2 linked regions of the Caenorhabditis elegans genome follow. The protein of the gene in region 2 interacts with the protein of the main gene of each other region in a pairwise test. Each region holds a gene or a part of one and is shown on either strand. Other genes may lie near its edges. The genes, in order: numr-1 and Y113G7B.15.

Evidence for each region.
Region 1: the proteins of Y113G7B.15 (region 2) and numr-1 interact in a two-hybrid assay, tested with the Caenorhabditis elegans proteins (one large-scale study listed by BioGRID).

The regions. Positions count from the first base shown.
Region 1 is NC_003281.10:7,362,063-7,365,637, forward strand, and holds numr-1 (PB1 domain-containing protein), read right to left. Parts: upstream 1,403-3,575; coding exon 557-1,402; downstream 1-556. Other genes in the region: numr-2 (PB1 domain-containing protein), read left to right, coding at 2,323-3,168.
Region 2 is NC_003283.11:20,228,197-20,235,559, forward strand, and holds Y113G7B.15 (Pept_C1 domain-containing protein), read right to left. Parts: upstream 5,648-7,363; coding exon 5,360-5,647; intron 3,797-5,359; coding exon 3,622-3,796; intron 2,697-3,621; coding exon 2,328-2,696; intron 1,027-2,327; coding exon 770-1,026; 3' UTR 743-769; downstream 1-742. Other genes in the region: sld-5 (DNA replication complex GINS protein SLD5), read right to left, coding at 7,078-7,304.

The sequences.
Region 1 (3,575 bases), on a different chromosome or scaffold from region 2:
TGTTAATAAGGTTCATCAAAGTTTATTTAGAAATTTAGATGCTTTTATGATAAAATTTTTAATTATTTAATACAGAAAACACACAAAATTAAATGGCAACATGACGTGAAATAGTGATCTAAATAGCTGGAGAACAATTAATTTTTGAAACGAAATGCAAACATTTAATTTCCACTAAATAGTTTGAGTATTATTCGTACGTAAATGAAAACAAATTTTGATGGAGATTGACTTCAAAAATGACTGGAGCTTAAAAATTGACATGAAATCCTGGCAATGTTGTGGGAAGAGAATCTGCAGAAGGTTACTTTAATATTTTGAAAAGTGTCTATCATGAAAGATGCTTATCGCATTATGGAGAGCTTCCAATGTATATATAATGTAGTCACATATTCTATTTATATGAAAAATAAGTTTATTTTTTAACGTTTATTATAAAAAACAGTTTTTAAAATTATTCAAAAAAGTACATGAAAATAAGTAGTGGAATGAATTGAGAACATTGAATACTACTTTTGAAAGAATAATTATAAAATAAGAATGAAAAATGAGATAATTAACATCGACCAAATCTGCGTTCAAATGGATGTTGTCTCTTGAATCCATGATGTCCGAATCCATGACCAAATCCATGATGATGACCACCGAATCCATGGAATGCTCCAAATGGATGATGATGTCTATGGAAATTGAATCCATGATGATCCATTCCTCGTCTTCCAAATGGTCTTCCGAATCCTCCAGTTGGACCTTCAAATTCTTCTCTTCCACAAGGTGTTCCAAATGATCCTAATGGATGTCTTTTGAATTCTTCTCCTTCACGACATGGTCTTCTTCCAATTGGTGATGCTGATCTTGCACGTCTTCCACCAAAACAGTGACGTCTTTTGAATTCTGGATGTCCATGGGATTCTTGGAATCTTTTCCACATGAGCTTCTTCATTTGATGTCTCTTGTGATGATCATGGAAATTTGAACGACTTCTGCTTCGAGATCTTGAACGATCAAATCCACGACTTCTGGATCTATCACGTCTTCCACAATGACGACGATGTGGAGCTACTTCAGGAGCATCAGCAATAATGACATCTTCATCTCCAGAATCAGAAGAATCAGATGAAGAATCCGATGAATCAGAATCAGCAATCACAAAAATAGAAGCAGAATCTCTGTTAGCCATCTTTTTCAGAACTCTCTGAGCATTCTGAGACATTGAAATCAAATTTCCTTTGTCATTTTTCCAGAAAACAACATTGAAATTGAGTCCGAGTTCTCCCAATTTCAACTCTAATTTTTCAATTAGTTGTTGCAAATTGTAATATTCAATTGAAATTTGTTCAGTTGCTCCAGGAGCAAAATAAAGTTTGAAAAGAATTGAATTGGTTGCAGTTGTAGTTTTCATTTTTCAGAATGATTTTCTCTATTCTAAATTTCCAATTTTTATACCTCCATTCTTAAGCTCCGCCTACCAGCTGTCCCTGAACTATTTCGAAATTGTTTAATGTGTCTGTGTCTATCGAAATAATACGAAAATGTACTGTCATCACTGTCTGCGTCTCGAATTGGCGCTGATCTTTTGATATTCATTGATGAATGAGACTAGAGACATGGATGTATTGCACAAACCACAGAAAGAGCACAAAGTCTTTGAATTTCAGATGATCTGAAATACATCGACATCAATAGAGATTTACTTCTTAGGTGACATTATGCTTGGTGATTTCATTAGAAATATTGAACATTCATCTAACGAATTGGGATCTGCAAACTCAATGTTTCAGAAAACGTGTTCATTTCAAAAAGTGATCGAAAAATAGTTTTTTTCTGTAAAAATTTCGCTCTCCAGATTTCAGACCCTAATCAGATTGAAAACATAGGCAGGCACTCAGTCCGGGTTACGGAAAAAACTATTTTTCGATCGCTTTTTGAAATGAACACGTTTTCTGAAAAATTGGGTTTGCAGATCCCAATTTGTTAGATGAATGTTCAATATTTCTAATGAAATCACCAAACATTATGTCACCTAAGAAGTAAATCTCTATTGATGTCGATGTATTTCAGATCATCTGAAATTCAAAGACTTTGTGCTCTTTCTGTGGTTTGTGCAATACATCCATGTCTCTAGTCTCATTCATCAATGAATATCAAAAGATCAGCGCCAATTCGAGACGCAGACAGTGATGACAGTACATTTTCGTATTATTTCGATAGACACAGACACATTAAACAATTTCGAAATAGTTCAGGGACAGCTGGTAGGCGGAGCTTAAGAATGGAGGTATAAAAATTGGAAATTTAGAATAGAGAAAATCATTCTGAAAAATGAAAACTACAACTGCAACCAATTCAATTCTTTTCAAACTTTATTTTGCTCCTGGAGCAACTGAACAAATTTCAATTGAATATTACAATTTGCAACAACTAATTGAAAAATTAGAGTTGAAATTGGGAGAACTCGGACTCAATTTCAATGTTGTTTTCTGGAAAAATGACAAAGGAAATTTGATTTCAATGTCTCAGAATGCTCAGAGAGTTCTGAAAAAGATGGCTAACAGAGATTCTGCTTCTATTTTTGTGATTGCTGATTCTGATTCATCGGATTCTTCATCTGATTCTTCTGATTCTGGAGATGAAGATGTCATTATTGCTGATGCTCCTGAAGTAGCTCCACATCGTCGTCATTGTGGAAGACGTGATAGATCCAGAAGTCGTGGATTTGATCGTTCAAGATCTCGAAGCAGAAGTCGTTCAAATTTCCATGATCATCACAAGAGACATCAAATGAAGAAGCTCATGTGGAAAAGATTCCAAGAATCCCATGGACATCCAGAATTCAAAAGACGTCACTGTTTTGGTGGAAGACGTGCAAGATCAGCATCACCAATTGGAAGAAGACCATGTCGTGAAGGAGAAGAATTCAAAAGACATCCATTAGGATCATTTGGAACACCTTGTGGAAGAGAAGAATTTGAAGGTCCAACTGGAGGATTCGGAAGACCATTTGGAAGACGAGGAATGGATCATCATGGATTCAATTTCCATAGACATCATCATCCATTTGGAGCATTCCATGGATTCGGTGGTCATCATCATGGATTTGGTCATGGATTCGGACATCATGGATTCAAGAGACAACATCCATTTGAACGCAGATTTGGTCGATGTTAATTATCTCATTTTTCATTCTTATTTTATAATTATTCTTTCAAAAGTAGTATTCAATGTTCTCAATTCATTCCACTACTTATTTTCATGTACTTTTTTGAATAATTTTAAAAACTGTTTTTTATAATAAACGTTAAAAAATAAACTTATTTTTCATATAAATAGAATGTACATTATATATATACATTGGAATCTCTCAATAATGTGATGAGCATCTAGACACTTTTCAAAATATTACAGTAACCTTCTGCATATTCACTTCCAACAACATTGCTAGACGTCTATTGATTTTTAAGTTGAAATGTTAGTAGAATAGTATTTCAACTAGAGTGGTCATTCAATAAAAAAAAAGAAGTCTTCAATTCCGCAGAACGGAACGTCCTCAACTTTTTCTGAACTATTTTCAGTTT
Region 2 (7,363 bases):
AAGTTTTAATGAAGAAAGAGAAAGTGTAAGCATTAGCATTTGTTGATACGATGACAATTCATCTAATAGTTTCAAATTTTAAAATTGTCGTTTGTGAGTGGAAACCTGTGTTTGATGTGATCGAATTTCAAATTTCAAAATTACAAAATATCGGTTGCCGTAGAATTGTGAAAACGACCAGTGCAAAAGATTGTCGAGAAATAGCGAAGAAGCTGAACGACAAAAATGACAGAACAGTCAGCGTAGTTTTCTTGTCAGAGAGAGCAGGGGCAATCAATTTGCATGGTGCGACACATGTCATTTTGCTAGGCATGCACTGGAATCTGGCTCTTGAACAAGAGGCATGTAGCTGCGTATGTAACATTGCACAGAAGAATATTGTCACTATTCACAGGTACATTTTTAGTTATCTATCTGGAGGAATAATAAACAGGCAAAGTTTCGAGATTTTCTTGCAACTGTTCAGTTTTTTTTTAGTTTAACATTGTCATCTCTAACGACTGTAATTTCAGAATAAAGGTTGCTGGCACCAATGAGGATGACGTCGAAAAAGCTCAAGACGACAAAAGCGATAGATCTGTCGGAGCAGAAACACCAATTAGAGAGTCAACGCCAATTTCTCTCAAGAAATAATCATTTTGTCGTGATAACTTTCGAATCGTTCATTATTTTTTAAGTTTCCGGTTTGGCAAACTTTTGTAAAACTTTTGTATACTCAAATGTTGTAATTCACTAAACCAACTAATTTTTTAAAACATTCATTACACAATTAATTATCAATCATAGCAGTAGCCGCATGACTTTCAATCAGACACCAGTTAACACCACGTCGAATCTTGACATATCCATGAAGACCCCAATCGGAATTCCACGAGTTTCTAACCAACCAATACGGGACACCGTCATCTGATGTACCATAACCAACAATTGCTACGGAATGCCATTCCGCTGGTGTCATTTGGTAACAATCTTCGGATTGAAGTACTCCTGATGTGTACCATTCAAAGTTCTCACCCACTCGGAAATCTGGAAAAATTTGAAAATTTTTTGGAAACTTTTTTTTTGGAATTTTTTTTAATTTCAAAATCTTATAACTTATCCAGTTTTTGAGATATTAACTTTTTCTTTATTTCAAAATGTGCGCAAAATGATTCACTATCAGTCTGCAAAAATTTCAGCGTTCAGCCATTGTAGACCACAGTACCACAGGACTTTTCGCGGTCAAACCAAAATTTTGAAAAAAATTTTTTAATTAAAATTTTTAAAATTCCAAAATTTCGTAACTTTGTCAGTTTTTAAGATATTTACCTAATTTTTATTTCATAATGTGTGCAAAATTTTTTACTGCCAGCTTATGTAATTTCAACTTCAAGCCATCTCAGACTACAGTACTCCAAGAGTTTTCGTGGCGGGACACAAGTTTTCAAAAAAAAAAATTTTTTTGCAAAATTTTTTAAATTTCAATACTTCAAAACTTAGCCAGTTTTTGAGATATTCACCTAAGTTAAATTTCAAAATGTGTGCAAAATCTTTTACTATCAGGTTATAAAATTTCAGCTTCAAACAATCTCAGACTACAGTACCACAGGACTTTTCGTGGCGGGGCCAAAATTTTGAAAAAAAAAATTGCAAAAATTTTTAAAATTTCAAAGCGTTATAACTTTGTCAGTTTTCAAAATTTTTAGATAATTTTTAACTTGACAGGAGCGCATACTCTTTCTCTACTAGAATTCAAAGCTCAGAGCCATTACCCAAGACTTTTCGTGGCGGGACCAAAATTTTGAAGAAAAAAATATTTTCTTTGCAAATTTTTTCCGAAATTTAAAACCTTATAACTTTGTCAGTTTTTAAGGTATCTGACTTATTTTTATTTCAGAATGTGTGCAAAATTTTTTACTGTCAGCTTATAAATGTTCAGCTTCAAGCCAATTCAGACTACAGTACCCCAGGACTTTTCGTGGCGGGACCAAAATTTTGAAAAAAATATTTTTTGCAAAAATTTTTAAAATTTCAAAGCAACATATCTTTGCTAGTTTTCAAGATTTTCAGATAATTTTTATTTTGACAGGAGCGCATACTTTTATTCTACTAGTTTGCAAAATTTGGGCTTCAAGCCATCCCAGACTAAAGAACTACAGGACGTTTCGTGGTGGGACCCAAATGCTAATTTTTTCGCAAAATTTTCAAATTTCAAAACCTCATAATTTAGTCAGTTTTTAAGATTTTTTTTTCGTAATTTTTGCCAGATTCACATGTTTCAGGCCCAAACCATACCGGATTACTGTACCCCAAAACTTTTCGTGGCGAGACCCTTCAAAAAAACTTACAAACTGCTGTAGGGATATGATTGAGATACAAATTCTCCATAATATCCTCCTCTGCATAATCTTGATCAAATCGATAGACATTTAAAGTTTCCGGCTGGATTACTGTACTTTTCTCGTCGCCCACGCAATTTCCAGTGGTATTCGCCCGATATTCCTCGTAAGGGTAGTCACCGTCACTGGACTGTCCCCGTAGATGCACCATTTTCAGACCGTTCCTTGGATCACCTCCCACGCACCCAGGAGTGTCTCCTGAATCTGCACAATCGCAAATTTCCTGGTCCGAGAGACTTGTGAAGGACTTGGAGTAGAGGGTGTTGGCAGCTTCGGTGATGGCAGTGGTGGCGAACGCCCAGCAGCAACCGCATTGTTCTGAAAAGTTATCAGTTGAAAAGAGCGTAAAATTTAAAATGGAAATAGTTTTTGAAACACCAAAAAATAAATATTTTGAAGGGAGTTATGAAGGTTTGAAGTTGGTGGCCTAGAATTTCAGATGAGGCCACCGGTATTTGGGGGAGTTTTTCAAGTTAACAATTAAATTACAAACCGATTGGCTTTTACAAACTCCAAATACGTCGATTTTGAAGCGAGTTATGAGAGTTTGAAGTTGGTGGCCTAGAAATCCAAATGATTGTTTTCTAGGCCATCAAAATTTAAGTAGGTCATATTGAACGTAAATTTCATGGTGAACAAAATTATTTTTACGGATCTCGAAAATATCAATTTTCCGCCGAGTTATATGGGATTGAAGTTGGGTCCTAGAAATCCAATTTGGTGTTTTTCTAGGCCATTAAAAATTAACTAAGTTAATTTGATAGTAAACTTTATGGAAAGATACATGCTTTTAACAAAACCCGAAAATATCAATTTTCCGCCGAGTTATGACGGTTTCAAGTTGGTGGCCTAGAAAGTTTAAAAACTCTTCCACGACTATAACTTTGCTTAGAAATTATAGTTTTCAAACCTGAAATTGTAAAAACATTGAGTCTAAGTTATTATTGTTTTCGAATAATTGGTGGCCTAGAAAACCTGAGCATGATTTTTCTAGGCCACCAACTTCTAACATTCATAACTTGGCGGAAAATCTACATAATAAAATTTTGCAAAAACCAATTTATTTGTCTAAAAAATTGCAATAAATTTGACCTACTTGATTTTGATGGCCTAGAAATCCAAAAATTTCTGCATTTCTAGGCCACCAACTTCAAACCCTCATAACTCGGCGGAAAATCAATATTTTTTCGCCAATCAAAATCTGTGTTTACTCAAATTTTAAGCTTTTTCAAATTAAGCATACCTTGATCTTTAACAGGACCAACAACTGGACTCCCATCGACATAAATATCACGGAGGTCGAAATAGTCCGGAATATCCCCACTTTGACGTTTTGAGCGTTTATTATGATGATTACGACTGCCACGTGGATGCCTCGGCTTGTAAATTGGAAGATCCGTGTGGTTTTTGGGATGAATCTGGAAAATTTCCAAATTATTTTTTTTTAATTTTCGTTTAAAAAAAAAGAATAATTAGAACTTAAAGAACGCACCGTGAACATTCTAATACAATTTTCAAATTTCAAAAATATTGATTTTCCGCCGAGTTATGAAAGTTTGAAGTTGGTGGCCTAGAAACCCAAAATTTTGGATGTCTAGGCCATCAAAAATTAAATAGGTCAGATCGATTCCAAATTTCGTAAGTTGGTTTTTGTAAAATTCAGAAATATTGATTTAAAGCCGAATTATGGAGGGTTGAAGTTGGTGGCCTAGAAATTAAAAGTTAGGCCACCTGCTTCAAATTCTTGTAACTTGGCTCAAAATCAATATTTTTGAGTTTTACAGAAACAAACTTAATCAACTTGAATTTTGGAATCAATTCGGCTTATTTAAAATTGGTGGCCTAGAATTTTTCAGGTTTCTAGGCGACAAACTTCAAACCGGCATAACTCGACGGAAAATAAATATTTTTCAGTGATTCCAAAACTAACGTATATGTCTCAAAATTTGAAATCGATTTGACCTATTTGATATTTCGTGGCCTAGAATTTCTAATATTTGAGTTTCTAGGCCACCAACTTCAAAACGTCATAACTCAGCTCAAAATCAATATTTTTCAGTGATTCCAAAACTAACGTATATGTCTCAAAATTTGGAATCAAATTGATCTATTTAATATTTGGTGGCCTAGAATTTCTGATTTTTGGGTTTCTAGGCCACCAACTTAAAACCGTCATAACTCAACGGAAAATCAATATTTTTCAGCTATTCCAAAACTATCGTACTCTCCCTAAAATTTGAAGTCCATTTGACCTACTGAATATTGGTGGCCTAGAGTTTTTAACTGTTGGGTTTCTAGGTCACAAACCTCAAACCGTCATAACTCGACGGAAACTCAATATTTTTCAGTGACTCCAAAACTAACGTACTTTTCTCAAAATTTGAAATCAATTTGACCTATTTGATATTTGGTGGCCTAGAATTTCTAACTTTTGAGTTTCTAGGCCACCAACTTCCATCTCTCATAACTTGGCTCGAAATTAATATTTTCAGTGGTTCCTAAACTACCGTGATTGACTTGAAATTAGGAATAGATTCGGCCTATTTAAAATTGGTGGCCTAGAATTTCTGATTTTTGGATTTTTAGGCCACCAACTTCAATCCTTCATAACTTTGCTCAAGATCAATATTTTTCAGTGATTCCAAAACTAACGTACTTGCCACAAAATTTGGAATCGATTTGACCTATTTAATATTGGTGGCCTAGAATTTCTGATTTTTGGGTTTCTAGGCCACCAACTTAAAACCGTCATAACTCAACGGAAAATCAATATTTTTCAGTGATTCTAAAACTAATGTACTCTCCCTAAAATTTAGAGTCTATTTGACCTATTTAATACTGGTGACCTAAATTTTCTAAATTTCCGGTTTCTAGGCCACCACCTTCAAAACGCCATAACTCGGTTTAAAATCAATATTTTTCAACCAATCAAAAACCATCTTGCGCAGAATTTTGTGCGCTTTTTGAAAAAACTCCCCAACCTTTGAATTTCTGGCGCTCAACTCCTGTCGATTCTTATCAGCAAACTTATTCCACCCAAAAGTCACATTTCGTCCTTCTCTCCTTGCTTTCGCATTAAGTTCCTGGATTTTCTGATGATTTTTCGCGAAATGAGCCAACCGGCGGTCTTTCTCCGCCGGGGTACGGTAGTGTTTCTTATGGTGCATCGTGAAATTGTTAAAATGTGACAGTACCTCCTGAGAGTGTTGGGTTACTGTAGGTTGGCATAGAGAGAGTAGGAATAAGGGGGAAATTATGAAAAGTAACATTTTTCAGGTTTTTACGGGGTTTTCGCTGGTTTTTATAGGTGGAATCACGCCGATCAACATGTTCAAGGTAACAGGTAACATAAAATGATAAAATATGAAAAAAAATTGTTCTTGTTTCAGTGTTACTCTGAGCCCTGAAAGTTTAGTTCTCCAAAAAAAAAAAAATTTTTAATCTAAAAATTTAAAAAAAAATGTTTTTTTTTTTTTTTAATTCCCTCAAAACCCTTCGCAATTGTTCTAAACCAACTTAGCTATACTAATTCAAACATTAAAAAAATATTGACCCTAGCGGGGGTTCGAACCTATGACCCTCCGCACATAACCATACCTCTTCCCGCCTGAGCCACTTTGACCCAGTTTTCAAACTGCTCCAAAATTCGCGTAATTTAGTTGTTTTAGGCTCAGAATTTCACGATAATTCCAGAAATTTAACTAGTTTTGATCTACGTTCATGTTGAACAGAGTTATGAGTAAAAAACTTTAAATCGATCAATTTCTTGGCTCAAAATTCGAAAAAAAAAGTTGAAAAGTTAATATGGGTGTCAAAAAATGTCTAAATTTTCTGCAGAATTTGGAAATTTATGCTAAAATCGCTGAAAACTTCAAGAAATTGGCAAAAAACCAAAAGAAAACACATTTTATCGATTTTTTTCAAAAAATTCCCTTAAACCCTTCCTCCCCTTCGCAATTGCTCAAAACCAACTAGGCTATACTAATTCAAACATATAAAAAATATTGACCCTAGCGGGGGTTCGAACCTGTTACCCTCCGAACCATAGCCTTCTCTCTTCCCGCCTGAGCCACTTGACCAAGTTTTCAAACTGCTCCAAAATTCGCGTAATTTAGGTGTTTTAAGCCTGAAATTTTACGAAAGTTCCAAAAATTTCACCAGTTTTGCGCTATGGTCATGCTGAACAATGTTATGAGCAGAAAAACTTTAAATTATTCACTTTTTGGCTCAAAAATCGAAAATTTATATCAAACCAAATTTTTTTGTCTATTTTCAGGAAAAAACATGGAGTAAGCTTCGTTTTTATGTTTAAAAAAGCTAAAATAAATGAAAATTTAAGAGAAAAAAACCCGATTTTTGAAGTGAAAATCCAGTTTTTTGGGGGAACATAAAAATGGAATAATGAGGTTTTTGAGCAAAATTTGATAATTTTAAAGTGAAAAATTGAGATTCAAAGAGGAGAAAACAGGCGAAAAATCACCGCAAAATTTCAGTGAAAATGCTCATTTTTTGACAGAAAATTGGCAAAAAGTGACAAATTAAAGTAGACATATGTAAAAAAAAAAAAAGGGGGTTTCAGGGGTAAAAAATGATGAAAAATTCGGGAAAATTACAAAAAAATGGATTAAATTTACGATTTTAGGGGTAAAAATGATGAAAATTCCAAAAAAATCCGAAAAAATTATCAAAAAATTCTTCTTCACATCAGTTGAATATTTCCATCTTCAACCAATTGATGTACCGATTCGAACGGAATCAAATGACACGATTCCGGTTCCATTTCCAAAATCACTTCTCCATTCAAATCCTGCCAATCCGGAATCGCAACGTTGCCCACGTCATCTGACGTCACTTTTGCGTAAACCATGACGTCATCATGATCGCCACGTGGAACTGGCATCTTTTTAAGCGCTGCTGGCATGAATTCTGAAGAAAATTGAGAGTTTTTGGGAAATTTTTTTTTTTTTGAAATTTTGAAAAAAAAA